Regions from separate parts of the Mus musculus genome. Here regions 2, 3, 4, 5, 6 and 7 are each reported to be linked to region 1. Evidence: microRNA targets listed by miRTarBase, many of them from high-throughput screens and not tested one by one. Region 1 holds a microRNA gene; each other region holds the end of a gene's coding sequence. Distances are between the middles of the regions.
Evidence for each region. The annotated mature microRNA mmu-miR-7b-5p reads UGGAAGACUUGUGAUUUUGUUGUU and lies in region 1 at 2,703-2,726, shown strand. An mRNA with a match to its seed (bases 2 to 7 or 8) in the 3' UTR can be bound and repressed. Matches are read on the target gene's strand: a 7mer-m8 pairs with bases 2 to 8, a 7mer-A1 pairs with bases 2 to 7 and ends in A, and an 8mer does both.

Region 2: miRTarBase lists Ubr2 as a target of mmu-miR-7b-5p. The part of its 3' UTR that is shown has no 7-base or 8-base seed match.
Region 3: miRTarBase lists Asb1 as a target of mmu-miR-7b-5p. Seed matches in the 3' UTR shown: 7mer-m8 at 1,238-1,244.
Region 4: the mRNA of Tnfaip1 is a reported target of mmu-miR-7b-5p. The part of its 3' UTR that is shown has no 7-base or 8-base seed match.
Region 5: miRTarBase lists Fzd6 as a target of mmu-miR-7b-5p. Seed matches in the 3' UTR shown: 7mer-m8 at 3,203-3,209 and 7mer-m8 at 2,820-2,826.
Region 6: miRTarBase lists Klhdc10 as a target of mmu-miR-7b-5p. Seed matches in the 3' UTR shown: 7mer-A1 at 3,446-3,452.
Region 7: the mRNA of Vezt is a reported target of mmu-miR-7b-5p. Seed matches in the 3' UTR shown: 7mer-m8 at 2,965-2,971.

The regions. Positions count from the first base shown.
Region 1 is chr17:56,240,315-56,244,379 of GRCm38, forward strand. Mir7b (microRNA 7b) reads left to right here and starts at 2,674; the gene lies at 2,674-2,784. A230051N06Rik (RIKEN cDNA A230051N06 gene) reads left to right here and starts at 1,402. Exons shown (of 2, transcript NR_155493.1): 1 at 1,402-1,500; 2 at 1,842-2,491.
Region 2 is chr17:46,927,057-46,931,121 of GRCm38, reverse strand. Ubr2 (ubiquitin protein ligase E3 component n-recognin 2) reads left to right here. Exons shown (of 47, transcript NM_146078.3): 47 at 622-2,831. The coding sequence ends at 763. Among named protein-coding and RNA genes, the nearest start is that of Prph2, 19 kb to the right of the region's middle.
Region 3 is chr1:91,554,178-91,558,242 of GRCm38, forward strand. It overlaps Asb1 (ankyrin repeat and SOCS box-containing 1), which reads left to right. Exons shown (of 5, transcript NM_001039126.2): 5 at 574-4,065. The coding sequence ends at 701. Among named protein-coding and RNA genes, the nearest start is that of Asb1, 16 kb to the left of the region's middle.
Region 4 is chr11:78,521,702-78,525,766 of GRCm38, forward strand. It overlaps Tnfaip1 (tumor necrosis factor, alpha-induced protein 1 (endothelial)), which reads right to left. Exons shown (of 7, transcript NM_001159392.1): 7 at 1,149-3,840. The coding sequence ends at 3,604. It overlaps Poldip2 (polymerase (DNA-directed), delta interacting protein 2), which reads left to right. Exons shown (of 11, transcript NM_026389.3): 11 at 93-1,035. The coding sequence ends at 207. Among named protein-coding and RNA genes, the nearest start is that of Poldip2, 11 kb to the left of the region's middle.
Region 5 is chr15:39,035,878-39,039,942 of GRCm38, reverse strand. It overlaps Fzd6 (frizzled class receptor 6), which reads right to left. Exons shown (of 7, transcript NM_001162494.1): 7 at 1,751-3,557. The coding sequence ends at 3,389. Among named protein-coding and RNA genes, the nearest start is that of Gm7194, 4.3 kb to the left of the region's middle.
Region 6 is chr6:30,450,415-30,454,479 of GRCm38, forward strand. Klhdc10 (kelch domain containing 10) reads left to right here. Exons shown (of 10, transcript NM_029742.3): 10 at 73-4,065. The coding sequence ends at 282. Among named protein-coding and RNA genes, the nearest start is that of 1700012C14Rik, 8.5 kb to the right of the region's middle.
Region 7 is chr10:93,966,874-93,970,938 of GRCm38, forward strand. It overlaps Vezt (vezatin, adherens junctions transmembrane protein), which reads right to left. Exons shown (of 12, transcript NM_172538.5): 12 at 1-3,831. The coding sequence ends at 3,320. Among named protein-coding and RNA genes, the nearest start is that of Mir331, 5.0 kb to the left of the region's middle.

The sequences.
Region 1 (4,065 bases):
AGAAACCTGCCAAACAGCTTCCCGTAGCCCCAAACGATTCTCCAGCGTGGCAGTGGTGATGCCAACCTTTAATCCCAGCACTCAGGAGGCAGAGACAGGTTGATCTTTCTGAGTTTGAAGCCAGCCTGGTTTACACAGTGAGTTCCAGGACAGCCAGGGCTACACAATGAAGCCCTGTCTCAAAAAGCAAACAAGCAAGCAAGCAAGCAAACAAACAATAAAAAGAACAAGAATTCTCCAAAGGTTTAAAATGAATTAAATTAAATGTGGGCTGCAGGACCCACAAGCTCTCTGCTGACTTCTATGCATGTACTGTGCATGTGCACATAAATAAATAAATAAATAAATAAATAAATAAATAAATAAATAAATAAATAAATCTTATAATTTCAGGGAGATGACTTAGCTCTTTGAGGGACTGCAAGGCTCTGGGTTCATATCCAAATTGAAAGAATGGGAAGAAATAAGAGAGAAAAACAAAGGGCGTGGGGCATGCAAGTTTTACCCAAGAGACTGCTAGAAGGGAAAGGGACAACTGATCAGAGCTTAGATCTTGCAGGTGGCTTTCCAGGGTCTCATCCCAGGTTCCCTGCAGCCCCTCCTCCCATGCCCCTAGGGTGTATAGAATGAACCTGGCTTGCCAGCTCCGCAGCCTGAGGAGCTGGTAGGAGATTTACAAGCCTGAGTGTGTGTCCTCCCTGACTGTCTGTCCCTTTGGTGCTACAAAGGAAGCTATGTAAATGAAGGTGTGTGATGTGCCACACACCAGCCTTCCCAGTGCTGAGAAGGCTGAGGCAAGAGGATCACAAAAGTGAGAGAGACTGTGTTAGAGGGGGGAAACTGTGACTAGGGCTCAGGGACAGAGCGCTGGCCCAGCAATCAGAAAGCACTAAGTTCCATTCCCAGCACTGCATCAATCTAGTGTGGAGGCAAACTCCTGATGGGAGCCTGAGGCAGGAGAATCATAAGTTTGAGGTCATCATGGACTACAAATCAAGACCCTAACTCAAAACAAAACAAAAATCGCCAGAGCTCCGCCTCTATCCTACGCTTCTGTGAGTCTCATTCCCGCACACTTCATCTTCCCTGTGTAGAATTGGACTTTATTTTCAAAATCCCTCAATTTCTTCAAACATTTTTTTTCAGCTTCTCTGTCCCAGCAGGCACACGCTTGATGATCGCTAATCCTCTGGCTACTCAGTGATCAGGTTTTAGATGATCCTCTCGTGGAAACTTAACAGGCCACAGGACTACACCCTGACACCTTCTGGAGACCCCTAAAGAAGTTTTTGGACGGATGCCTGACTTTTATTCTGAAGCCGAGGCCTCAACCTATGAGGTAATCCTTGGAGCTTCATTCCAAGACGATTCCTATTGGTTCACTGGCTAAGCCCCACCCAGGGTTTCCAGCGCTCCGCCTTCCCCTTAAGCGCATAAAGGTGAAACGTCGGAAACTGGACAGCCACCGAGACACCTGCAGCTGCTGGTGAGCAGGAGAAGGTAAGGCACGAAGGAAGGAGGAAAAGGTGCGCTGAGGGAGGGAAGCGGGGACTCTGGGTACAATGCAAGTTGGCACATCTTCCAGAAGGCCAACTGGACTGTTTAGGAAGGGCAGAGAACCCAGGGCTGTCTCCCTGAGATGTGGGAGCAGGTGAGAGCCTTGCGCCTTCGTCCCCGCCTAGAACACCCCGGGTCCATGGGAAGAGATTAAAACAGAAGATGGGTCCCTAGGACGAAGAACAGAAACAAGGAGCGGGGCATTTTGGCAGAAGGCAGAAGCTGGGAGAGTGTCCTCGAGCCGCACTGACCACCCCCTCCCCCAATAACTAATTATGTTTCAGCACTGGAGACGCGGACAGCGCCATCCGGCTGAGGGACTCGGAGCAGAGTTCGGCTTCAGCACCAGGATTTCGGACAGCTCCCAGCGGGTCACGAAGAGACTAGGCTTCAGCACCCGGCCCCTGGCAGTGCCAAGCTCTCAACACCCAGCTTCAGGGATCGCCTTGGGGTCTGTTCTGGCGGAGAGTGTACAGGGAAGGAACCTCTTAATGGTTCTTGGCATTTGTCCTTTACGGAGGGATTTTTTTTTTCTTTTTTGAAACAGGGTTTTTTTGTGTGTACCTCTAGCTGTTCTGAAACTCACTATGTAGACTAGGCTGGCTTCAAACTCACAGAGTACAGGCGAAGCATTTGGTCAACGAGATGTTATGAGTGCCTCTGGGTGTACTAATTTCCAAAGTGAAGTGGTGAGGGGAAAGCCAGCCTCAATCCAACTTTAAATCTCAAGTTCTTTTTATTTTTAAAAAGAGTTTTTCTCTCAATTATATATATAATTATTATTATTTTAAAACACTGTAGACCAAGCTTTGAACTCCTTGTGTAGCCAAAGATGATCTTGAAGTTCTCATCCTCCTGCCTCTACTCCCTGCGTGCTGGGGTGACAAGTGTGTGCTCCTCGTGCCTGGAACAATAAATCCCACGTTGGTGATGTGCCAGGGTGTGAGTTGGGGGGCAGGTAGAGAATGAATCTTGCCTGTGTCTCAGGGGATGGAATGGAAAAGGGATGTCTAGGGAGGGTAAGTCAGTGAGTGGGGTTTGTTATGCTCAATCCTCTATGGAGAGAGAGAGAGAAGCACTTGAGGGTGTTGAACCTGGCGGAGGAGGATGAGGACGAGGAGCGGAGTACGTGAGCCAGTGCTATGTGGAAGACTTGTGATTTTGTTGTTCTGATATGATATGACAACAAGTCACAGCCAGCCTCATAGCGTGGACTCCTATCACCTTTCTCCTGAAATACACAAACAGGTAGGGGCAGGAAACTGGGACAGGAGGGGGTTAAGGGAAGTCTAGCACGGACAGGAGAGGGTGTCTAGCAAGGTCTCGGGCCCTGGGAGAGTGCAGGAGTGTTTCCCATGCTATTGGCCTGTCACTCAAACACATCTACATGATAGGATCAGAGACACAACCTCAGGGCCCTGGGTCACAGCACCGTGCTTTCTCTGGAGACTCAAATAGGGAATGGTGAGCCAGTGGAGTAACTCAGAGGGAAAGAGTGCTTTGAAATTAGGGAACCCAAGCTTGAGCCCCAGGATCAACTGGGTAGAAGGATAAAACCAACTCCTGCAAGTTGTCCTCTGACCATACATGTCCTGTGACACACATGCTTCCACACACAAATAAATAAACACACATAAAAATTTTTCTTTTTTTTTTTTTTAAGAGAGGGTTTCTGGGGCTGGTGAGATGGCTCAGTGGGTAAGAGCACCCGACTGCTCTTCCGAAGGTCCAGAGTTCAAATCCCAGCAACCACATGGTGGCTCACAACCATCTGTAATGAGATCTGACTCCCTCTTCTGGTGTCTGAAGACAGCTACAGTGTACTTACATATAATAAATAAATAAATCTTTAAAAAAAAAAAAAAGAATTACATTTAAAAAAAAAAAAAAAAGAGAGGGTTTCTGTATATAAACCTGGCTGTCTTAGAACTTACTCTGTAGACCAGGTTACCCTCAAATTCAGAGATCCACCTGCCTCTGCCTCCTGAGTGTTTGAATTAAAAGCATGTGCATACATAAAACTTTTTTTTTTTTTGGTTTTTTGAGACAGGGTTTCTCTGTATAGACCTGGCTGTTGCTCTGTAGACCAGGCTGGCCTCGAACTCAGAAATCTCCCTGCCTCTGTCTCCCAAGTGCTGGGATTAAAGGCATGCGCCACCACTGCCCGGCCATAAAACTTTTAAAAGAGGGATTGGCATCAAAGGTACTTCTAGAAAACCCTGAAATTCTTTTCTCTTTCTTGTTTTCTTTTCCTCACTCTTTTCACTTTGCCTGCTTTGAGACAGTGTCACCTGTAGTCCAGGCTTTTCTCTAACTCTGAATGTAGCCCAGGATGGCTTTGAACACTGAGTTCTCTTGCCTCCAGTCCCTGAGAACCATGCCTAGCATACACGGTGTTGGATTCAGAATTTCAAATGCTTTGACTGGGTACGGTACCCATGGAGCCCCAGCCCAATTTTCAATAAAACTCTGTGCCCGCCACACAAAGCAACCACTAGTTGCATGACT
Region 2 (4,065 bases), 9.3 Mb from region 1:
GGTTGGGCTGTGTACCACCATATACCCAGTTAACGTGGGCCCAGCGGCAGCAGGCATCTAGTTACCTTGTTAACGTGGGCCCAGGGGCAGCAGGTGTCTAGTTATCTTGTTAACATGGGCCCAGCAGCAGCAAGCATCTAGTTACCTTGCTGAGGCTTCTAGGTGACAGCCCCTGTCTTGTCCTGTCATCCTTCCACCCTGTCCTTTGCCCCACGACCTTTTTGCACATCACCATAGAATAAAGAGTTTTAGCTTCTTAACTCAGACCTGGGCCAGCAGTCCTGTTTCCTGACCTCAGTCTAACTGTGTGGCACTGGAGTACCTACCTTTTCTCTTCAGCACATACCCACAACCCAACACCGTGCGTGTGTGCGTGTGTGCGTGTGTGCGTGTGTGCGTGTGTGCGTGTGTGTGTGTGTGTGTGTGTGTGTGTGTGTGCGTGTGTGCGTGCGTGCGTGCGTGCGTGCGTGTGTGTGTGTGTGTGTGTGTGTGTGTGTGTGTGTGTGTATACAGAAAATACACAGTTGGAAGCTAGTGCTGTACACCTTTCCTGGCACAGAATGTGTTGGGACATGAGGAATGGATAAACTGTGCCTGTGAGTGACATGTGTCTCTTTCTAGACGAGGAAATCCTTTACATTTATGCCAAGAGCGGTTTCGAAAGATCCAGAAGCTCTGGCAGCAGCATAGTATCACAGAGGAGATCGGACACGCGCAGGAGGCTAACCAGACCCTGGTCGGAATTGACTGGCAGCATTTATAATCGCTCCTCTACTAAAAACTTGACTTGGAGTTTTGTAACACAGCTGGCTTTTCCAGAAAGACAACAGGAAATAAGTTCGGCTGAATCTATTTTGAAATAAATTCTTTATTTAAGCTTTTCTTCCCAGTTTTATTTTTCTAGTCTGGCTCCAGGGACTGATAAAAGTCATTTCTGCCAGATTTTATTGCTGTGTCCCTTAGACGGACGTCCCCTGGGTTGAGAGCCCTTTCTAGACCGGAGTCTAGCTCCTTTGGACGCTGCCTGCTTCAGCTGCAGTAGCCTGAGCCAGTCAACATTGCTGATGGTGTCAAGCTTGCTGGCTGTCCACCAGAGGCCAAAAGGAGCCCTGGGGCCTGTCAGGAGGACATGTCCCACCATGGTTCCTGAGACTGGGATGCGGTTCAGCTCTGGGACTAGACCTCACCTCCAGAGCAAAGCAAGTCAATTTGAAGACAGGACTCGCTTCCCCCTATGGCCTAGAGAGCTGGGGACTCTAACAGGAGAGCAGCCGGCTTTTCATGGCTGTAGATGGTTGGTCAAGACTTTTAGCTTTGAAAGCATTACTCAATTAAAGGGCTTTTTGAAATGTAAAGGACCTCCTAGTTTTTCAGACTATAGCCTTCTGCTCCAAGGCTAAACAGAGAGCATGTGCGCACCCTCAAGCAGACCACAGCAGACAAGTAAGAGCTCGGCTGAGTACAGTGCTCCAAGCCTGCAATCCCAGCTCTCAGGATGCTTAGGCAGCACTAGGAGTTCAAGGCTAGCTCCAACTGTGTTACAAGCTTGCGGCCAGCGTGGGTAACTTGAGGAGACCCTGTCTCAAACCAAACGAAATCCAGAAGGCAGTGTTTTGAGCTGCCTGCCCTGCCCTGCCCTGCCCTGCCCTGCCCTGCCCTGCCCCGCCCCGCCCCGCTCCGCCCCGCATCTGGATCAGATGTGTTGCTGCTTGTCTGCTGGTTGATCTAGGACATTCCTCAGCCTGTGCACACAAACGCCTGTTCTTTTTATTCTAAGAGCAGCCTTTCTAGAACTATAGCTACTTGGTGCCACAGTTACGGCTCTGGCACACCGCACACCTATTTCCTCGTCTGACGGATATCCGTCACATTCAGAGAAGTCACATAGACATGGTGACAGCAGGTTCAGCAGAGGGATGAACTCCAGTCTCCAGGAACAGAAAGGGGCTTTCAGCTTCTCTAACCATCAAAGAACCTCTCACTCAGCCTTTCAAATCACATCCACTCAGCTCTATCCATGCCTCCGTGTCTCAGGAGAGTCAGAAATCCAGACCAGAGGCTCAAAGAAATGCAGGTAGCACAGTCTCCAGGATCATGTGAGGAGCTGCCTCCCCTTCAAAGGATGGACTTCAGTTAGCTCTTCAGCGCGGCCCAGGCTCAGGACAGAGAGTTTGTAATGGAAGCCCAAGCTAGACTCCGTGCTCTCCCTTTGTCTCGCCTTCCCTTGGCATAGTCAGACTGGGCTGTGGATGGTGATGCTTTCGACCTTTGGCACATGCCGTTTCTTTAGATTTTAAGTTCAGCTTCTGTTGGCTCTTCACCTTCCGTTCACAAGGCTTAACTGTAAAGTTATGGGAACGTCTCTAGACTTGAGCCTAGTGCTAGAACACTTGCCTAGTGTGACTGAGGGCCTAGGTTCAGCCCTGGTACCAACCCAAAAGGAAAAAAAAAAAATCATGAGCACAGCTTGCTTCTAAACAGGCTGAAAACATCTGCTTTCTCACCTGACTCCACAGGAGCCTGGGATTAGCAGAGGTGGCCCTGTGTTTCACTCCTGGGAACATCAGGGTCTGGGCAGTGACTTCCCAGGGAATGGCAGTCCTCACACTGTGGCAATGTCATGTCCTCCCCCTACCGACACGTCTTACTTCCACTTGTTCCGCATGTTTTTGTTGTAGAAATGTTTATATACCATGCTTTCCATATCAGGGGAGATCATGTGTTTAATAAATTGGCTATAATTTTAATATCTGTGGACAATTGTAAAATTTGGGATGTATCATATGTAAAAAGTAAAGATATTCAAATAAATGCTTTAGTGTTGACATTGAGTTTTGCCTCCATCTTCTCCATGTCATTCGCACACACGGGGCCCCAGCAAAGCTCCTTGTGTCACCTTGCTGCAAAAGTGGGACATCGATATTAGCCTAAAATTTAAGAAGCTTAAACTATTAGTGTCAGCTATGACCACTAGCCAGGCCACACTGACCTTCTGGGAGGCATGGGCGTTAGCTCAGCCTATGAAGTTTTCCTCTTGTTGTCTGTGAGAGTGGGAAGTCTGGGGCCCCTGGACCGCAGAGCAGTGCACAGCAGGTCTGTGGGAGACTCTCTCAGCCTTGCCTGCTTCCCTGCAGGTCCTTGTTCTTCTACACCCACCCGACACTTGGCTTCTGCGATGTGTTCAAGAAGGAGACGACTCAGAGTGGAATTCTGCTGTGTTCTCAGAATTCTCTTACCAGACTGAGTCAAAACATCAAGTTCTCCATGGGACACTGTCAAACACCAGGGTCTCCATTGGGCTTCCCACCTCCTGGTCATTAAGGCTAACTCCTGCCCTAGACCAGCTGCCTCTCACTGACTGCTGGCTCTCTATCTATCTATCTATCTATCTATCTATCTATCTATCTATCTATCTATCTATCTATCTATCTAACTAACTATATCTGGTTGGTTGGTTGGTTGGTTTGGGTTTGGTTTTTTGAGACAGGGTTTTTTCCCTGTGTAACCTTGGCTGTCTGGAACTCACTCTAGACAAGGCTGGCCTCGAACTCACAAAAATCCAAATGCTGAGATTAAAAACCTGTGCCACCATAACCCACCAGCTCTGACCCCACCCTTATCTAGTGATGTTTACTGAGGTATACTTTACGGACAGATTAACCCTCTTTAAGGATACAGGGTTGTTTACATTTTGGCAAATGCACAGTTGTTTAACCAGCACAGTTGAGAACTAGAGCAGTCCCTGCAGAACATACCCTCACACCCCTTTGTGGTCCCCTCCTCCCTGCCCTGAGTGCTGCCTCTCACTCCTCTGTCCTGCACCCCTTCCAGAATCGTAGGTGACTGGAGTCACATGAGGTGCCTTCCCAGCAGCTTCTCTGCTACTCGTGCATTTTAGAGCTGGAGAACATAGCTTAGTTACTGAGCATTTGGGAAACCCTAAGTTCCACCCCCAGCAACACAAAAGCTACTATAGTATTTACAACCTGCATCCCAGCAGGGGGGCTGCAAAGGCAGGAAGATCAGGGGTCCAAGGTCATTTCAAGTACATGAGTTTGAGGCCTG
Region 3 (4,065 bases), not on the chromosome of region 1:
TTCTCCCATCTTGTCAGAGGACATATGAGTTGATAGTTTGTCGTTGGTCCTCTATTTCTCAAAGAACATTAGTAGCAGTGTGTTTTTGTTAGCTATACTCAAGCCAGGTCTCAGAAACATGTTCCTGTTTAGCTTTTCTCCAAGGTGCTGGCTGATGGCCTCCGGGTGGGAACCAGGAACAGAAGGAAGCTTCTTCTGGTCACCTTCCCTTCCTGAAGCAGGGGTTTAGCTGTGTAGTTTCCATCGAGGCAGGAAGACCGGCAGCCTAATCTCTGAGTTCAAGTACTGTGCACTTGGTGTCCCCAGGCCTCTGTGACCTGCTGGGACAGAGCAAGAGCGAAGGTCATTTGTTCTCATCTGTGGGTCCTCCATGGGTGGCCTTTTTCCAGGGCACTAAGCATTGCAGAGGGAGGAGTGGCTGACAGATGAGCAGATGCCCTGGCTAAGATGCAGATAGCAAGCCTTCTAGTAGCTCCCAGAGCCTCCTCGACTCAGATGAGGAAGGTTGGCTTTGGGCCTTCCGAGTTACGAGAGAAGTAACCTTTCCCTCCTCTTTCTCCTCACACTCCCCAGGTATTCCCAGGACCTTGCTGAGTTTGTGCCGGGTGGCTGTGAGAAGAGCTCTTGGCAAATACCGACTGCATCTGGTTCCCTCGCTGCCGCTGCCAGACCCCATAAAGAAGTTTTTGCTTTATGAGTAGCATTCACATGCAGTGCTGACTGCAATGTGGAAGCCGATCACCTGCAGTGAAAACTGACACAGACTCTGGCATCCTGGGAACCATGGCCTGTGCTGCCAGCTTGATCCTTGGCTGTCAGTGAAGAAGAAACGGCTGTGTTCTCTTGGACTGTGATTCTATCTCAGGTGCTTGGGCCATCGAACGCTCCTTGAGTCATTGTCAACTGAGAGGCACATACAAACTTAATTTTGTTCCTCTTCAGTCTCTCTGTTTTGGATTCTTCCTGGCAATGTGTGCAGCATGGGCTGAGCCTGGTGATTGCCCTAGTGGGGAAGGCTTTTTTCTCCAGGCTATGCATCTATTTATGTTCCTACTTTGCAATTTATTGTTCTTTTAAGGCTTGATATCAAAACAGAAAGAGGTTTGTTAAGAAAAGATATAGGGAGAAGGAATTCGGTTCGTGCACTTGCTAGCCTGCTTTCTTGCCTGGGTTTGTCTGTCTATGCTGCCTGGTGCACATCCCTTCTCTTTGCTGCCACTGTTCTATTTTGGGAGTTGTCTTCCGTCTAAGATGGCTTCTGGGGTTCTATCTTATTGCACAGAGGTCCCAGAACAGTGTTCATAGGGCACCATCTGCTCTGCCAAGGGTTTTCTGATGTCTTACCCTGGGGATCTTCAGACAGTGGTTACCTTTAGGAGACCCACCTGGAACTAACCATTAAGTGACTGCCCACATTCAGATCAGGGACCATCTTAATAGTACTCACTGCCAGTCCTCACAAGAGAAGATGACACGGGTGCTCTCTTCAGACACTCCCATACAGGAAGTGGAAAATGTCTTGGTCACCTGGGTGGTTCCAGGCTACAACTTCTTGGTGTCCACTAGACAGGATATCTAGGTGTTGGGTGACTGTTCCTCCCACTTTCTGACCCAATGCCTTTGTGGGTGCTTCTAGAGGTCTTTCCCTGTCCTGCCCAGGGCTGTTGGTGGGTGAGAGAGATGAGCTTATTGCAGGATTGCAGGTTTGTTTAACTCTTGAGTGGTGAGTGTCACAGCAGGTGGGCCCATAACCACGGCCTTGAGCATCCTTAGGTTGCTCCTGTTTCAGTGAAGTCACCTTTTGTCATTCTGAAGCCTGTTAGGATTACTGTGTGGACCTTGCTGATTATAGACTTGAGAATATTTGGGACAAGCAGGTAATAAATCTGTTTAGACTTTTGGCCATAAAGGGGATTTAACTTGTTAATACTTTCCTAGTGTACCATTTTGTGTTTTAGCTGACCAGTCAGGCAGTTGGTAGCCTTGGGATTCTGTGGATGGAGTTCCAAACCCCACCCCAGTGCCTCAGGAAGGCCCAAGGCAGCAACACCAAGCTGGTCCAAATGTACTACATGAGTTTTGATGAGCCTTGCCCAGTCCTGGACAGTGAGTCCTGTGTCTGGGGCAGGAATGAGCTGGCCAGAGCCTGTCCCTGTCTCCCCACAGCTGTTCTGTGTGGCCCCAGCACAGCTCTTCACTTGGACTTGAGTAGCTTTCCCTGTCTCAAACCAGTTTTCAGAACCTTTCAATCACTTCAAGGTTCTGCATGTTCAGAATTTCCAGCCGGTAACTCTGAATGTGACACAGCATCGGCATGGACTGAGGGCACTTCCCCTTGTCGCCAGTATGCTATGAAGGCACTGCATGTCATTGCTGTCAAGGATGAGGTACGGGGTAAGAAGCACCCCAGGTTCATGAGAGGTACCATAGGAAGTTGATGTGACTTCGGTGAGGACTGACCCTCTACTCAGCAGACTTCTGAGCTCTGGTTACCTGTGTCCTTCCTAGCATGGGGATGTGGGTGTCTGATGAACCTACTGCCTTCTGGCTGAACTGGCCCTAGCAGAAGAGCTTAGTGGTCCAGAGGAAGGAGCCTGAGGGTTGTCCCAGCTCATCAAAGGGGTATTTGTGGGGTTGTTGCTGTTACTGGGGCAGCCACTTGATTTAAGTGAAGACTTGTGTAGTGGAATCTTGGCTAGGCAGGTTGGAACCAGTGATGATCCCTCAGAATTTATCTTTTCAGTATTGGGCTTTTAGACATATGTCCAGAAACCTGCCAAGGCAATGCCATACATTTTGTAGCTATTTTACTTGTGATGTCTATCTGTCTGTCTGTCTGTCTGTCTATCTATCTATCTATTAATCTATTATCTACTTATCATCTATGTATTTATGTATTTATTTGTTTATATATTTTTGTATTTATTTATTTATTCATATTCTTTTTCCATAAGAGGACTTAAGCTGGAGAGTCTTATTTTGTTTTGACAGTAGATTGGTAAAGTAGATAATTGGCATTTTTCAAATATTGACCAGTACTGATGTCAGGCTTAAGGACCATTATTTCAGAGTTTCCCCTTTTCACTTTCATGAATGAATTTTTAGATAAAAATTTCCTGAAAGATAAAGTCCTGACTGTGGGCCAGAGCGGAGGGAAGTTCTTCATGCCTGAGAGCTGCTCTGGCCTGTGCTCAGCCAGTTCCTGGAGCAGTGTCTGCTCTGCAGCAGACAGGAAGAGCTCTTCCTGTGCCTTTCCAGGGACCCTGCTGAGGTCCTGTGAAGTGCCGAGGCTGCAGACACTTTGTTTGGGAGGGGTCTCTGTCCTGAGAAAACTGCTTCCTAGTGGAAGTGCACTTACGGTGGTCACAGTGCTGAGAGCCCACAGTCTGGATTTGGGATTGACCTTGTGGGGCGGTTGGATCATCTTGACCCACAGTGCAGCACCAACAGAGAGCCATTCGAGCAAAAGGGTAAGGGTGGCTTGTAGTACTTGAGGAAATCAAATTTCCTCAGCTGACTGGACTGCCTTTTATTCTTCAGTCATGTCATTCCTGACAACAGAAGGCTTGCTGGAAAGGGATGGTATGGGGCTATGGCTTTGCATGTAAAACACTTTTGATTGGGATCCACAGCAGTGTTCTTTTCACCTCTGCCTGCTGCTGTCCTGGCACAGTCTGATTGTAGTGGATGCTACATATTAATGAGGAAGTTTTAGATCCTAAGTAGCATTCCTGGTGGTGAAAGGCATTGTGGCTTTCCCATGGCCTGGGGTCTAAGTGTAAGCTGGAGGACCACTGTGCGCGACCTGAGGAGTCTAGACATGCTTTTGAAGCGCCTCTACCACCCCAGATCCATGAGGTCACCACAGAAAGTGTGGCCTTTTTGGTAAGACTTGCTTGTCCTTCACTCAGGCCTTGGGAACCAGTGGCACCTAGGATGCTGGTGATGATGTCACCAGTGGTGGTCTGCTGGTACCTGTGTCTCCTTGGTGCCTGCACACCGGGCACTTGGAGACTAATCCTGCCCTGCAGGGATCAGATGACTTTCCATCCGCACAGAGATTCC
Region 4 (4,065 bases), not on the chromosome of region 1:
GCTCGGGCTCCATCAGAGGCCATGGGACCACACAGTTCAAGAGGCTTCAGTTCAGACCTTACTCCCTCTAAACCCGCTTCTCCAATCCTCAGGGGCACATTTCGTTTTGAGAGACCGGATGGCTCCCACTTTGATGTCCGGATCCCACCATTCTCCTTGGAAAGCAATAAAGATGAGAAGACCCCACCCTCAGGCCTTCACTGGTAGGCCAGCTGAGGCCCAGGTTGGCCCTAAGAACAACAGCTCTCAACCCATAATTGCTGCAGAACTCTAAACCTCTCCCTACTGTGAAATTCTTTTTTTGGAGGGAGATTGTAACTTTTCTTGGAAGACCCACATAAGACTCCTCCAAGGTTGGCCTTGGCCGCTGTCCAGGACACCACGTTCCAGCAAAGCTGTCAGGGAACTGTTCAGTTGTCCCATGTTTTCTGGAATGTGAGGTGTGGTCAATAAACCAGTGCTCACTTGGCCACCACGGCCATTTTTGTCTCCAGGGTCTCAGGCCCCCTTGCTGGCCCTTTAGGAACTCTTAGTTGCTTTTCATGCAAAGTTTCTTCTAGGGAGCTGCTGGCCCTGCTAGGGTGCGCCTTCCTCAGAGGCTGGACATCTTGGGGCACTGGTAACAGTGAGCAGCACTGGACTAAGTTCCGGGTCTCTCTACCCTCCGCCCAGTGTAGAGGAGGCCAGTGTAGAGTTGGACTGACCTGACTATAGACACGGATTACCCACCAGCACTTCTGGCTTCACTAGGCCTGGAGAAGAGTGAGGCAAAACCAGTCAGGTTTCTGGGAACTGTGGGCTTCTGAGCATTGAGCAAAGCCTGTCAAGCATCCAGACCACAGGGGCAGGAATTCAGCCAAGAAGCAGCTTAAGTTATGGTCAGTGACCAAGTCAAGCTGCTTTTGGAGCTTCTTTCAGGCCAACAGGAGCCAGAGAATTGGACTGCATTTTGCCCCAGGTCTTAGGATTCCTTCACCACTATAGTTACTGTTAGAGGTCCTTTCATTCTTGCATTATTAAATCTCAGTTCTAGTCCTTCTGAGTATTGTTCTTAATCTTCCACCAGGGGGAGTGTGGGTCTGTAGGATTATAGAGGAATGAGTCTCTTGACTACCTAGAACACAAGGTCATGGAGGGAACAGAAATAAAAGAACTGAGCCCACAGCTGTGAGCTGGCCAGGCTCTGCTCACTGGAAACATGGCTCAGCAGTGTAAAACAACTTTATTAGAAGTTAGTGTTTACTTCCATCACTTAAGGTAAGCAACTGAGACCGCAGGTATGTAGTAAAGGGCACATTCTTTCCTGCCAGAACCTGTGTTACCCTTCAGGCCAACCAGTCACATGTCCCAGGTTCAACAGCACACAGCTGGTGTTTGTGAGCAGCGTCCAGTCTGACCCTCATGCATGTTTTATGTTTAAGTCCCCTGGACTGCCTGTGATCAAAAAACCCATCCTGCTACAACTCCTTTAGGACAGGGCTGGTAAATCTCACGAGTCCAGATCACTTCAGTATTATTTCCTTAAACCAAGGAGAAATTTTCAGTCAAAGAAGATGAATGCCCAACCCGGGACTCCTGCTATGTTTCCTCAGCCCATGACTAGACAGCACTGAACAGCAGAGGAGATGGATGTCAAAGCGCCTCATGGAGGCTAAAGGGGGTGTGGCGGTAAAGAGACAAACTGGAAACACCGCAGGGGTCTGAGAATCTGAGTGTTAAAGGCTTCTAGGGGACAGCTGAGAAAACAGATTGGTGGCCTCATGCTGTCACATTCCAAAGTCTGTGGGAAAGACTGAAAGCCAAAGCCTCTATTTGGCCAAAAAAGTTGGATTGTCATCTTAGTTCCAGCGAGATCTGGACGAACTAATAGTTGCTCGTCACTAAGGTGCCTGACCCAAGCATCTTAGAGCTATTTATACATTCAAGATCGTGATTAACATAACATGCCTGATTATTAAGTCACATTTCCCATTTCCCCTTGCCCTGTCAGGCTAGATCCTTGTGAGAGCCCAACCCTGGGCTTGGCATCTGCCCATAGGCTCTAAGAGGTGAGCCTTTGTGTGCCCATGTGGCAATCATAAGAGTAGTCAAGGGATACAGCTGATAATCTGTGGCCCTTCTTGGGCACTGTTGATGGGTACACACTTCCTTAGGCTTACAAACAGCCCCCTCCAGTGACAACATTCCTCTGGATAGAATCCAGGTAAGAGAGCCAGTCCCAACAAAGAAAGGGAGGGAAACCAAAGCGCAAAGGAAGAATTGACACCAGGTCTAGATCTTGGTACATCCGTGGTCAGTGACCCAGAAGAAAGGTCTTTCAAAGGCTTAGGTGGTCCTAGTTACTATGTATTTGGAGATGCATCACTAGGCAGAACCAGGACATAAACTGAGACATAGTATCAGGGGCTGCAGCACATCTGTGTCTTAGAGCTGAACATACCCAAGTATGAGGCTCACACCAAAGAATCCTGTTAAGTCTGAGTCAGTGATGTGACCCTACCCTTTCCCCACAGGATGCTATTAAAACCATTTTCAACTTGGACGTCCTTTCCCTCTTGGTATTCTTTGGGTAGTCAGGCTGACAAGCCAAAGCTGGTCAGTCTACTTTTTTTTTTTTTTTTTTTTTTGAAACAAAGCCTATGTAGCCCAGGCTGGCCTGGAACTTTTAACTACATAGCACAGGCTGGTCTCAAACTTGTGATCCTCCTGTCTCAGCCTTTCCTTAAGATTGTGCAGGAGGGGATCAGTGTCAGAAAAAGCTTTGGGTCAAGGCAGAATAGATTCCCCTGAATGATAGACATACAAAGTGCTTTAAAGATGGGTCCTAGGATACTGAAAAGGGTGGAGTGAGTGTGTGAGTGTGTGCCTACTAGGTGGGGTCCTGGCACTCTGCTTAGTCCTAGCTTTCCCCCCAGACTAAAAACTAGTCATTTCGTAGATACCTAGTGAGTGTGGCAGTACTGGAGATTGAGCCCAGGGCCTCACTCTTGCTAGGTGAGCCCCCTTTTTAAAATTTTATATTGAGGGCCTTGCTATGTTGTCCAGGCTAGCCTAGAACATGTTATCCCACCTCGGCTTCTCCATAGCTGGGATTATAGGTACGGCCATGCTAACATCTAGATTTAAAAACAAACAAAAATCCAGGTTATACCAATGTTTAAACACCTTAGGAAAAAAAAAGGCCACTTTTTCTGTTCAAAATTGGGTCCTCGCAGCACCAGAAGCCTCCTTTCCCCTAGAACAAAGCTGTTCTCGTGGGCCTCAGCTGAGGAGCTAAAGGAGCTCTTCAGAAGAAAGGGGCACTCAGCCAAGGGCCAGGGGGTATTCTTGGCAGGAGGTGGGAAATCAGTGCACTCACCCTAGAGCAGAAGTAGCTCCTTATTGGCAGGAAGTGGGGTGGCATCTGGAAGTGCTGGGGGGAGGGGGGCCAGCCAAGACAATGTGGCCTTCCCTCTCTCAGCTCCCCAACCTCCCAAGCAGGGCTGTCACCTGTACATACTAGAGCAGGCTCCCAGCTAGCAGGAGCAGCATAGGGTGGCCAATGGGTACGTTCCACAGGGTGGCAGACAGGACTTCTTGTGCCCCGATTTCTTAAGGGTCTCATCAGTCACGATGAGTGGACTGATGGCCAAGTTGCCGGTCATCGTAAGTGCTATAGCGCTTGACATGAATGCGACGGACACGGTCCCGTAGTTCAAAGGTGTCTTCATCTTCACTGGGGGAAGCCTGGCTGCGGCTCCGGCTTGTGGCCTCCAGTAAGGAATTGTCAGGGACTCGAGGGGTCTCATAGAGTAGGACATTGAGTGTTTCCTCATAGATACGGGCCTCTGGGAATTCCACCTGGAGTGAACAGAAAAGACAGAATGAGGTTTCATTTAGTGAGGAAACACCTAACGTAGGAGTCAGGTGGCTGCCCGGCTAACAAGGGAAGCATGAGGGGGCATGAGAGTATAGATCGACACCTCTAGCTACCCTACAGCATCCCACAACTGAAGACTAGTATGCATGGGTATATCCAGGTATAAGCACAACTCCATGGGCTTGGTGCCAGATGAAGTCTGAGCT
Region 5 (4,065 bases), not on the chromosome of region 1:
AATAGGTTTGGAGCAGAAACCACTGCCCAGCAGTGCCTCCTGTCCCTTATGTATGGGCTTTTATGGTTGTCGCCTTTATAAGCAGCCCCTGGGATGGAACCCAACATAGGCACATGTACCATAGGGGTCGGGTAAAGTTTTAAGTTCCTAAAATCTCCCTGGGAATTGACACCATATTTGGATGAAAGCGACATGTATATGAAAGTAAGTGACATTCTGATTTGCAAGTTAAGACGTGAATGCTAGGCAAGGCAAGGCCCCACCGCAGGTGAACCTCAACCAATGGGAACAGGTTGAGAGTACAACAAAGACATTTTCCTAAGGAAGTCCCCTATGCCTAAATCCTGATTGGTGGAATAATTTGGCACAGGCGTTTGTGGATTTCAGGTTTAAAAGCTCCACAGGATACTGGCCTCAGGGTTGTAGTAAAGTCCTGAGTCTGGTCTGCAGCCCTGACTGATCAGTTCCCAGGCACGTGCTCAGTAAACTCTCCCTGTCTGATTAAGATCAGTGTTTGTGTGGTTTGTGGAGTGACTCCTGGACATCAATGATAGACCCTTTCCCCCCCCCCCCCCCCCCCCCCGTTTTTTAGACAGGGTCTCTGTTCATAGCCTTGGCTGTCCTGGAACTCACTATGTAGACTAGACTGGACTTAAACTCAGAGATCTGCCCACCTCTGCTTTTGACTATTGTGATTAAAACCATGTGCTTCCTCCATGCCTGGCCTGATACACTATTTTTTAAAATTATACATGTATGTATTTTATGTGTATTAGTGTTTTGCTTGTATGTATGTCTGTGCACTGCCAGTGTATCTGGTGCCCACAGAGGACAGAATATGGCATCAGACCCCCTGGGACTGGAGTCAGGGATGATTGTGGATCCTCGGAATTGAACTCAGGTCCCTGTAATAAGTGCTCTTAACTGCTGAACTGTCTCCAGTCTCTAGGGTTTGTGGATGGCCAAGCATGGTGGTGTGGTCCCGTAATCCCAGCACTCAGGTGTAGGAAGGACAGTGATCAATCCAGAGGTTGGTCTAGAGTACACAGTAAAATGTAGGCCGGCTTAGGCCAGCAAACCTGTCTTGAAACAAATTCAGAGGGCATAAACAATAACCCTCTTTCTCTAAAAGACTTTCATTTGCTTTCCACTGTGAGGCTCCTAACCCCGGGCCAGAGTCTGGGCTTTCTCTGTCCCACACAGACAGCATGAAGCACGGTGGTTTTCAGGTGGTTGAGGTCACAATTCTAAATTTATGGAAGGCACTGGTCCCTTTCTCCTGCTTACCTAGCTTCACTCTGAGACTCCTTCCATAACACTGTCCACTTCTCTGCAACACTCTGTAGCAATGGCTGCAGACAAGACAAGCTGCAAACCCTGGGCTTGGTGACAGGAATTCCTCTGACCCCGAGTCCTACCTGACAAGTCCTCCCTTTATTAGCTGTTTAGTATGTGGAAAGCAAGACTGCTTCACTGAGGAGGTTTGGTTAAATGATCTGATCCACTGTTGGGAGCAGATCCAAGGACTCCGGCTTGCTTCGCCTAATCTAGCAGGCCTCCCATGGGCTCCAACACACTGTAGGCAATATGGCTATAAAACTACACTTGGGGAAGAAACTGACAATATGCAAGTTCTTCACTGTCTTCTCCTACCTCCGCTGAAAGGAAGCTTCTGACTTCTGCCTTTATCAATCTAAAACGGCTACACTGTTTCTGGGTCAGTACTATATACCTAGCACACAATACAATCTTTTATACAAAGAAAATTTTATTGATGAAAAGAACACACAAAAAAATTTGTGTCTGAAGTTTACATATGTGGAAAAGTTAGTATTTACATTTCCCATACAGTACATGATAATTTTCATTTTAAACTTTAACAGAGCTCCAATGGGATCAAAGTATCTAAGAAAACCTCGCTGGCGAGATAATCCTTAAGGAGGACCAGCACTGAGACGCTGTCTTAGCACCTTCAGTGTCTTCACGCTGCATCTGCTGCACTACACTCTTCCTGCCCAACTCTGACTCTGCCCTTCGCACATTTTCTTTTGCAGGCTTAGATGCAGATAGGAATTTTGCATAGCATCAAAGAAATTTACAACACAATGTGTTTGTACTATTCCAAAAACATTTTTTTAAGTTTAAATTTTTAAAACAGATAAAAGCTGAGTGTGGTGGCTTGGGAGAGATGAGTGGGCTGCAGAGGGGGAGATCTCTGTGACCTGCCTGGGACAGACTGAACACCAGACAGCCAAGGAGCACCACACAGTGAGTTCCTGTCTCGGGAAATAAAATACTAAAATAAAGACAGGCACGAGCAACTACAAATGGCCATAATTCAATCCTAATTCAACACTTAAAAGGGGAATCGACAGCTCGGCCTAACTTGTAAAAACCTACCATCTTACCTGCTGATTTATAACATGCAGAAAGAAAGGGACAGTCCAATCAGGGAGGGACCTGCCACCAAGTTCCTCCTTTTGGGGAAGGTAGGGGTGGCTGTGACCACTTCTTACAGACCTTTCAGTGTGACACCCACTCTTTTTACTGTAAAGAGGCTGCTGTACAAGTTTTTTAAAAATCCAGTGTAACAGCTATCACAGTCGCAAAGTAGCTAAAATAGTAGAAAAACATCATAAAAATATTTGATTCAATTCTCTAGGATTTTCAAAAGTTCAAATACACATAAGCATATTTTCAAATTCATATCTACATATAAAGGTACAAAAGTTTTAAATACTTCAGCAAAGAAAAATCTTGGATTTATATAAAGAGTGAAAGAGCATATCTTAAAATACTTTAATGAATCTTCAATAGAAGGAAGACTCCTCTAATGCCCTTCCCATCCCCACATTTAAAAAGTGTTATTAACTGGGCACTCCTGGTTGGTTTTTTAGGTATAAATGCATTATATTATTTTTGAAATCTGGGCTGTTGTTTCTTTCAAGTTTAAAAACAGACAAAAGGCTGGGCAGTGGTGACCACACCATTATTCCCAGCACTCGGGAGGCTGAGGCAGGCAGATCTCTGTAAGTTTGAGGCCAGCCTGGTCTACAGAGGGAGTTTCAGGACAGTCAGGGCTAGCAAAGAAACCCTGTCTCAAACAAACAAACAAAAAAACAAACAAACAACAACAAAAATAACAGCAACAAAAATAAAAGCCAAACCAAAAAAACAATAGACAAAGCTGGTTTAAGTGCAAGGAAGACTGTAACAGTGAATTTTCCTTTTGCAGTGCTGGGAGACAACCCCAGGTCCTCAAGTATTCCAGGTGGGCGCTGTACCACTGGGCTACTCTCCCAGCTCAACAGTGGCCTTTATAAGACAAATCAGTTGGTCATCTCCAGTGTAACATACATGTGCTTCTGGGGGAACGAGACAGTTTTCTTCAAGCGTCGGAATGGCTGCCAGCACCCTGCTCTTTCCTAGCTCTGGAAGCTGAGTGAACAGGCAGAGATGTGGAGCCCTTGAGGCTGGTTGGTTCTGGAGAACTGGCGGCCTGTGAAGTGCTGCAGTCTATCAGGCCAGTCTCAGGAACGCTGCTCTTTGGACTTACCCTGGAAAACACGAGTGTTTATGTGCACAGCAGAAACACAGACAGGATGTTAGTTATCCTCCTAACCCTGTGCATTCATCCCAAAGAGCTCTAGCAGGGGATAACCCACGCAGCTCCTGGGTAGCCCTTCAAACCACAACCCTGCTGACTTCACACACTTTACCAAGTGCTATTCCTGCATGGCCGAGCACTGCGTCTCACAGCGGACACAATTACTGAGGCAGGTTCCTGCTGCCCGGCTACTGAGGCTCCATCAGTGTTAAGATGCATTAAGAGTTTAGGGCCACACTGCTGGGCATGGTGGCACACACCTTCAATGCCAGCATAGGGAAGGCAGAGGCAAGTGGATTTCTGAATTTGAGGCCAGCCTCGTTGGTCTACAGAGCTAGTTCCAGGACAGTCAGGACCAGGAACAAAAAGATGACCAAGACCTCAGCTCAAATCCAGTGAGGATGAAAGCATCTGGCTAGTTACAGCTGGGTGTATGGAGGCATCGTGGGAACACAGTA
Region 6 (4,065 bases), not on the chromosome of region 1:
TGCTGAGTCTGCCTTGGTCACTCTTGCTCTGGTGTTTGACTTTGTCGTCTTCTCACTGCCATTTGTTCACAGGCTGGTTGCATGTACATCCACGGAGGAGTGGTGAACATCCATGAAAACAAACGGACTGGGTCGCTGTTTAAGATCTGGCTGGTGGTACCTAGCCTGCTGGAACTGGCATGGGAGAAGCTGCTCGCGGCCTTCCCCAACCTAGCAAACCTCTCCCGAACACAGCTCCTGCACCTTGGACTCACACAGGAACTCATCGAGCGTTTGAAATGAAGATTTCTGGACTGTTCATTGATACTGGAAATGTTAATTTAAAGAGACTCCTTTATTTATGGGCAGTGTAGAATGTGCTACAAAGAGGATTGGCTACCCTGATCAAGGCCTTATTCAGAAAATACATCAGATGCCTTTTTGTGAATGGGTTTAGTTTATGGACATTTCACTTTCTCATGTGCTTTCTTCTTTGCTCCCCTCCCTCCTGCCCCTCATAATGCACCCCACACTTATGCACTCCCTCTTTCTTGATGGAGTTGAGGGAATGTCTGAAAGTCCCTTAATAATGTTAAGAATCAAGAGAGAGAAATTGTTGCCTTTTTTTTTTAATTCTGAGCATATTGACCATGTCAACTAACACTACAGATTAAAATATCATCAACAAACACAAAGCTTAAAAAGCCAGCAACAACAACTCTTGGTCTGGGAGATAGAGCGAGAACACTAGTCTTGGTAGCCTAGCAGGTTGTTCTTAAGTCTGGATGTTGAGTTAGTGTTTCTGAGATGTGCGGAGTGGCTGGACTCAACGGTGCTTCATGACTTGCTGTAAAAATGCCTGACCTTGACACTAGCAGGCAGCTCAGTGACGTCTGATTAGCGATCCCTTCAATCCTGTAACGCTCCGGTGGTTAGCGTTGGCCTGCCAATGTTTAGTGTGTCTGTCATCATCACCCTCTGTTGTTGTCTCTCAAATTAAATGTATATGGCATCAAGTTCTTTCCAGGCAGTTCTGAACTTCCCTTGTGCTTATTAATGGCTTTAAATATGTCTTTGACTTCTTGGTGGGGGATTGTAGACTCTTAAGTGTGTGATGTAAATGTCTACGGACAGTAGATAGAGCACAGCACCCGCACCCTTCAGGCTTAACTGTCTTACCTTCTGCTTGGGGTGCTGGCTTTGACTAGCATAGCAGCTGCTGCTTTTTTAGAACTTGTTTCTCTTTAAGTCTCTGGACCATGTCCCTGCGTTTTCTTAAACTGTTGGTTCTTGATTGCCTCCTGAGCTTGTTGCCTCCTTTGCTGTCCGCTTCTGTGTTCACGATGCTGTGGTTGCCTAGTGACTGGAGGAAGGTCTTAAGGGAAAAGGTACAGGGTCTCCTTCTCAAGAAGCAGGGGTCATTGGAGAGCCAGCAGGAGGAAGGGGTGAGACAGGGTGATTCGCTTCTGTTGGTGAGAGATTTTGTTTCCTCCTTTCTGGAGAGAAAAGTAACGTACGTTTTTACTCCTTTTGTCCTCAGGCAGCTAGAAGAGCTGAGGAGTGACTTGTGTAAGCCTATGGGTGTCCATAGGTGCAGTCAGGATGCTAGAGGCCTGCAGGAGGGTGCAGCCAGTCCCCCCTGCAGGCTCCTTGCAGAGGAGACATGTAGGAGATTTCAAACACATTTTTCCTTTAAGTGCCTCTTTTCCACCTAGCTTTAATATTATTCATTTTCTTTTAGCCCAAAAGAGATCTCTTTAGTTGATATGAAATAAAAGTCACCTTTGAGTTACAGTAAAAAAACGTTCCTGCCCGGTGTGCAGTCTTAGAGAGGTCTCCTCCCTTTGGCTCCCAACAGGCCTTATGCTCCATCCGTGTGGGTTAAGTTAGTGGAGCCTTTGCTCTGTGGTCCTGAGTGAAGCCCTTATCTCTGAGTGAGGGGATGGACCTGCGTTTCTGGGGTCTTAACCCCCAGCTCTGGCCACTTCCTGTTGGTGTGGCTTTTACTTCCTGCCACCGATAGGCGCACTCCTCATAAGACCCCTCTCCAGAGCAAGTCAGCCTGAGCCACTGTGTGCTCAAAACTGTGACTCTGGGCCAGGTCTCCTGGACACATGGTGGAAGTGTATCCCAAACTAAATAAGCCATGTTTTCTAGGGTGACAGAAGGATATTTGTCATTGGTTTATATAGGGACCAAAGGCAATGTTCAGCCTCTGTGCTTTGACTCCCATGGTCCTTGGACAACTGAGGCTGACTCTGGTTCTGTTACACTAGAAAGCTGTAGAAAGGGGGCTGATTCAAGCCAACACTTGTTGGCATCCTTTTTAAGCCAGTTGAAGGCAGTCTCTTTGAGATGGATGTTGGAGGCCTGACATCAACGACCTTCTGTATCTTAGAAGTGCATGTTGGGTCTAAAGTGTCTTTGAATAGAACACTAGCGAAAGTGGTGCAGGAAGCAGCTGAATGCCGCAGCCACTCACGCACATGTTCTGGATGCCAAATGACTGTGGAGAAGGACTTAAAGGAAGGTGACTGGATCCTCTCTAAGGGTCACCAGCATTTTGGTTTCTCTATAACCAGCACTCGGGATTCCCAGTGGCATCACCTGGTGTGGGAAGGTTGTGATGCCTGCTGCCCCCCTGCCTTTTTGAGGTGCGCCCAGACATCTTCCTGCAGTCCTGGAAGTAGAAGTGCAATATGTAGAAACATATGGTCTGTACAGATTATGTAGAATCGACGAGTGTAAAGCAGTGACACCACTCTTTGTACCTGTCTTGGGCAAGTCAACTTATTACCTTAGAGTAGAATTATGCCAAGAACTTTTAGTGTGATCATAAGCCAACTTCTTGGTAAAGCTGGATTTCTTTCAGGTCCATGTTTTCTTATTCTAGTTATAAAAAAAAAGGTCTGTTCCTCAGTTTGCTAGGAGCTGAGGGTTTCCCATCCCTGTTTGTACTGCCTCCCATTTGCATGTCTTGCCCAGGAATAAGGAAGTCCACTTGAAAGTGTTGCCCAGGTAGAGAATTGAAACCTAATGTTAATACAGCCCCCCCCCCCATATACGCTAACTTATCTGGGAATGTAATACCTTATTAAATGATGTTTTCTTTACGATAAGGTATTTTCCACTTTACAGAAAACTGCAAACCAGTATATAATAGATTGAAACTTTACCTGCTTTTCAGGACAAACAAAACCCTTCCTTCCCACTGGCAGAAATCATCTTTCAGGGCCTAATGATTTGATATAAAAGCTTGCTTTATAGCATTCATGTCCAGTACAGAGCTAGATTTTAAAATTATATATATGATGAAAATATTAACATTTCTAGATTAAAAGTATGACTGATCTTTCGTTATCCACTGTAGCAAGGTGAAAGCACACACAATCGAAATCCATAGATAATCAGTGTTTAGCCTTCTCCTTCAAACAGTTGATTTACATATCTTGTCCCTTCCTGTCCTTCTTCCACACACATCCCCTTTTCAAGGGACGAGAAGTCAGAGAAGGAAAAGAAGCTCAAAGAAGGGCCAGCAGCTAGCCAGGCCAGGCTCCCAGTTAACTTAGACACTGGTAGGAAAATGACCACCGGTGGGAACCTTGAGCACAGCCTGCTGCTGAGTTCTCTGCTGCTTCCTGACCAGAGAGAACTCTTAGTTCCTGTGGGATGAACAGGCTGTGTTGAACAGAAACAGAAACCCCACTGTCTGAGCACATTTCCTGGCTCTTGGCAAAGCTTGCTTTTTTGTTTCCTCCTTTGGAGTCACCTTCTGCAGTCTGATGTCCTGGTGTGCAGCAAGGGTGCTCTGTCCTCTCGGACTGTGTTGGTTTTGTCCCCTGTAAAAGCAGTTTGCTGTTCTGTGGTCTTAGTGATGCTTAGAGAGTGGCCCTCCCACCAACACTCTGACGTAGCACAAAAAGCCATTTTCCTTTTTGTTTTCTGTTGTTTCCTGGTGTTGGGCTTCAGGGTGAATGCAGGAGGATTTATTGTTACAGCCACGCTTTTCAAGAGCTGGTTACCATAGGTGTAAATTCCATTGGTCCCCAGGTACCTTAGAGCTCTGGTAGCTTTGGCTGGGCCTGA
Region 7 (4,065 bases), not on the chromosome of region 1:
CTAAATGCACACACAAGAATGCTAAGCAGCAAACCAGGCAATACAAGGTTCATGCACACGACCGACAGAAAAGCTCTCGGCCTTTTCCAGTCTACTTACTCTTAGTTTAGACACAGTTCTAGCAAGCGTGGCAATCGGGTTTCTCAGTCCACAGCAGATTAAAAGCAGCAAATTAGGGGCCTAGTGCGGAAGGCAGGCACACAACACGGCGGATTATAGGGGAAGGTAAGAGAAACTGTGAAAAAAACAGACACGACTCAAAAAGCAAGCAATGTGAAATCTCGCAGCAAAGGAGTGCCTGACGTTATCAATCCCAGTTGTCCCCGAGAGGGGACGTGTGCATTCTTCCCCAAAGGAACTGATGTCCCCAAAGGACAGGCTAAGCTAGTTCCGGTTCCCAAAGGACAGGCTAAGCTAGTTCCGGTTCCCAAAGGACAGGCTAAGCTAGTTCCGGTACGTGCCAGAGTTAAGGGAGAAAAGGAGACGTGATCCTGTAAGCAGACTGTTAAGTCCAAGGACTAAATACATGGGCTTGCTTTTGTTCCCTGAGAGATGAGGGGACTCAAGTTAGTCACCAGCTGACGAAGACAATGAACGGTCACTATACTGGACATTTTGCTGTCTTTTATTTCCTACATTTTTCTTTTTGAATCTTTTTTTCTAATTTAAGCATAAAGTACAAATAAGTCCCCATACACAGATCTGGAAAAAACTCACTTTTGGCTTCAGGACTTGGTTCTGGTATCCTTGCTCTATTTGAGTATAAAAGCAATATGCTATGGCTAACTGATAACAGCCCTCCCCCTAGTGTTTCTATTCATTTAGCAACTTGAAGCATGATTCATGTTTTGCATGGGAAGAAAATATCTGAGTGACACAACCTGAGGTCAATTCTATCAACACCCAGCCAAGTTCTAGTCTTTTAAATGGATCAGAAATTGACTTTTCTTATGCTTACCATTCAAGCAACTGTCTTTTAGTATATAAAGTAGGATATTACTATCTACTTTAATAAATGGAGCTATACATTTATAACTTCTCCAGCCTCCAAACCAACATTTCTTTCTGCATTTCCAGGAATTACAGTTTTCCTGAGAAGACTCTCCCTAGATGATAAGGTCACAGTACTTGAATCCTCTGAACAAAAGGCCTGGGATTCAAACTCCCGCCTCTTTTTGCAGACACCTGGCACCTGTTGTTTTCTTTTCTTTCTTTTTTCTTTTCTTCCTGGACAGGTTCGCACAGTGTATTTCTGGCTATCCTGGAGCACGCTCAACTGGCCTCGGACTCGCAGTAGCCTTCCTAACAGTGCACCTGGGGTGCTGGCATCACCAGTACAAGTCGCGTCACGGTCTGAAATCTGTATTCTTAAACATCCTTAGCAATCTGCCTTAAATGTGTGTTCTCTTCCTAACTCACTTATCATCAACTCCTAATAGGTTCAGATGCTGTGACTATTAATTAGTTTTAAGAAGGACAACAAGGGCTTTATGAAGTTAGATAATATGCATAGCTTGCACAAAAAACCAAAAAACCCAAAAAAACCAAAAAAAAAAAAAATCACAGAGGACTGCAAATGAAAGATTAGCCAGGACTCTGGCCCTGCATCTGACAGACATCAGGGCCTTACAGAAACAGAGAAAAAGTTTTGAGGCTTGCTAGGTGACCACAGACCACTTACTGTCCCGACCTGCCCATCTGCTAGGTGACCACAGACCACTTACTGTCCCGACCTGCCCATCTGCAGATGCACCAAGGGTAAAAATTCTGTTTTCATGAGTGACCCCAAAACAAAAAGCACGCTTTTTTTTTCTTCTGAGTTCTAGATTGATCCTGGTAAAACCAATGTTGGCAGTATCTGTAGTAAAAGCTGTCAGAATACTACTCCCAAAAAGATGAATCATGCTATAAAAACTGGCAAATAAGATTATGAATGGGTTTCTATGAAATTGCTATGGTTGAATCAAAATAGACTAAAAGAATTAAAAATGACTAAGTTTTCCTGTGTTAAAAATTAAGAGAACGCTTAACAAAATTTCCCTAAAAAAACTTCCTTTTCTCTTGAAGTTAAGCATCTTCCATGTCTGACTTAAGGGACTGACGGCTCTGGCCATGCTGCACTGCTAAGTATCAGCAAAGGCAACATCACCAACAGTGTAGACAAAGGGAAAGATTTTCCTCAGGAGAAGAAACAGTTCCAAAAACAACAACAAACCTTGAGAAGAAGTAAGCTTCCTGCTAAAAGCAGTAAGTTACAGGAAGTCAGATACTTTCCTCCTGAAACAGCAGCATCAACTGAGTTTTGTTGTTTTGTTTTTGTTTGTTTTTCTTTCTTACATTCCTCACAGAAGAATGCCTATAAAGTCTGGGAGCGCACAGTGGCAACAGGTTTCAGAAGGAGACTGTTTCTGCAAATTTCATTGAAAACACAATTCCAGCACAAAGCGGACAAGACTGGTCTCTGGAAAGCATCTCGAGACGCATTCACGATGAAGCACAAAGGGACAAGGATGCTTTCCAAGATAGCTGACGCGTTTCCTGAGTCTTAGTAAGGCAGGCCAGGCTAGAAGACAGCACAGGACCTACCTACTGCAGAGGCACAGTTGTCTTCCAGTAAACTGATGTAAATTAGTTCCTGCAGGGCTGGGGCTGGGGCCTTTGCTGGAGTGACAGCGCTTGGACATCATGGGGTGTCCCCTAAGAGGACATTGTCCTCTTAACCTCTGCATGACCCGTGAGAAATGTCCAAGATACGCTGCAGTCCCAGCTCCCTGCTAACTACTTTCCAGTTCCAAACCCCAGCACACATCGGTTGTGGTAATTAAATACTTTTATTTAGAACCTGTCTCTTTGTTTTACGAGTGGTATAAACAAAATAAAGTACGAACAATGTATTAACATGACCGCTGCAGTTCACACTGCAAGGACACAGTAGAAAGGGCTCATTCTAAATGTTTCTGCTCGGGAAGACAATCACCCTAGTTACCTTGTGGCAGCAAAGTTTTGGCAAAAAGTGATAAATTCATGTCTTATTAAAAGTACTTAAAGATTTGCCAAGATTATCAGTTTTGCCACAAATAAAACAGCAGTTTATTTATTTATTTTTTAAAAAAGTCCCTTACCTTTCTCTCCTATGCCTAAAGGATCTGACTAGACAGGTATCTACTAGTTTCAGGTCAGGTTTTCAAATCAGTATTCACCCTGTAAATTCACGCCGTAGCCTTATAGAGAGTAAACACACACTCATTTCTCTTTCCAGTCTTGCAGCTAGAACACTTTTGTAAAAAGAACAATCAAGGCCATCGCTTCATCTTGGCTTTTATTTTTCCTCCACCTCATTTTCACCGCCTTCAACTAGCTGTTCTTCCTCCTCGTCGCCAAAAGTTTGTTCCTGCATGGTGGTAAAGGACAGGGACCGGGCGGCCACTTCTGCAGCCAGGCCAGCAGAGAAGGTGAATTCTGGTGGCAACTGGAGTCGAGCCAGCCTCTGCTTAATGGAGAGTTGCAGTGTGTCCCTGGGAGTCGGAGGGGCAGTGGCCCCCGCAGCAGCAGCCTGAGGAGACTTAGCCTCACTCTCATGCTGGTGGCACATGGTTTCCTCGGCTCCTGGAAGGAGGAGGCCTGTGTCTGCAGAGGTGTCTTTGCTTGGCCCCTCTGTTGGGCTGTCACACACATACTCAGTCCTACTGTCTTCCTTGTCGCCGGCACAGGGCTTACTAGTCTCCTCTTCAGTAGCATTACTATTGACTTTTTCTGTATCTGAATTCATGGGTGGTTCTGAGTTACTTACAGATTCCACTGGGTCTACAGGAGACAAGGATGTCAACACAGCTTCAAAGAACAGAAAGAGGAAAAGAAAAGAAAAAAGGAAAAAAAATAACTAAGGGCCCAACAACTTTTAAATTCCCACTTATTTTTAAAAGGAGCAACAAATAAATAAAAACACAATAAAACTTTCTAGTAAAATAAATGTAACTTTATAAATATGGGGAGTTTTTTGAGACAAAATACCTAAAGAAATGAAACGAGACGGGGACTTGCTGAAGAGTCTGCAGTTCCAAGGCA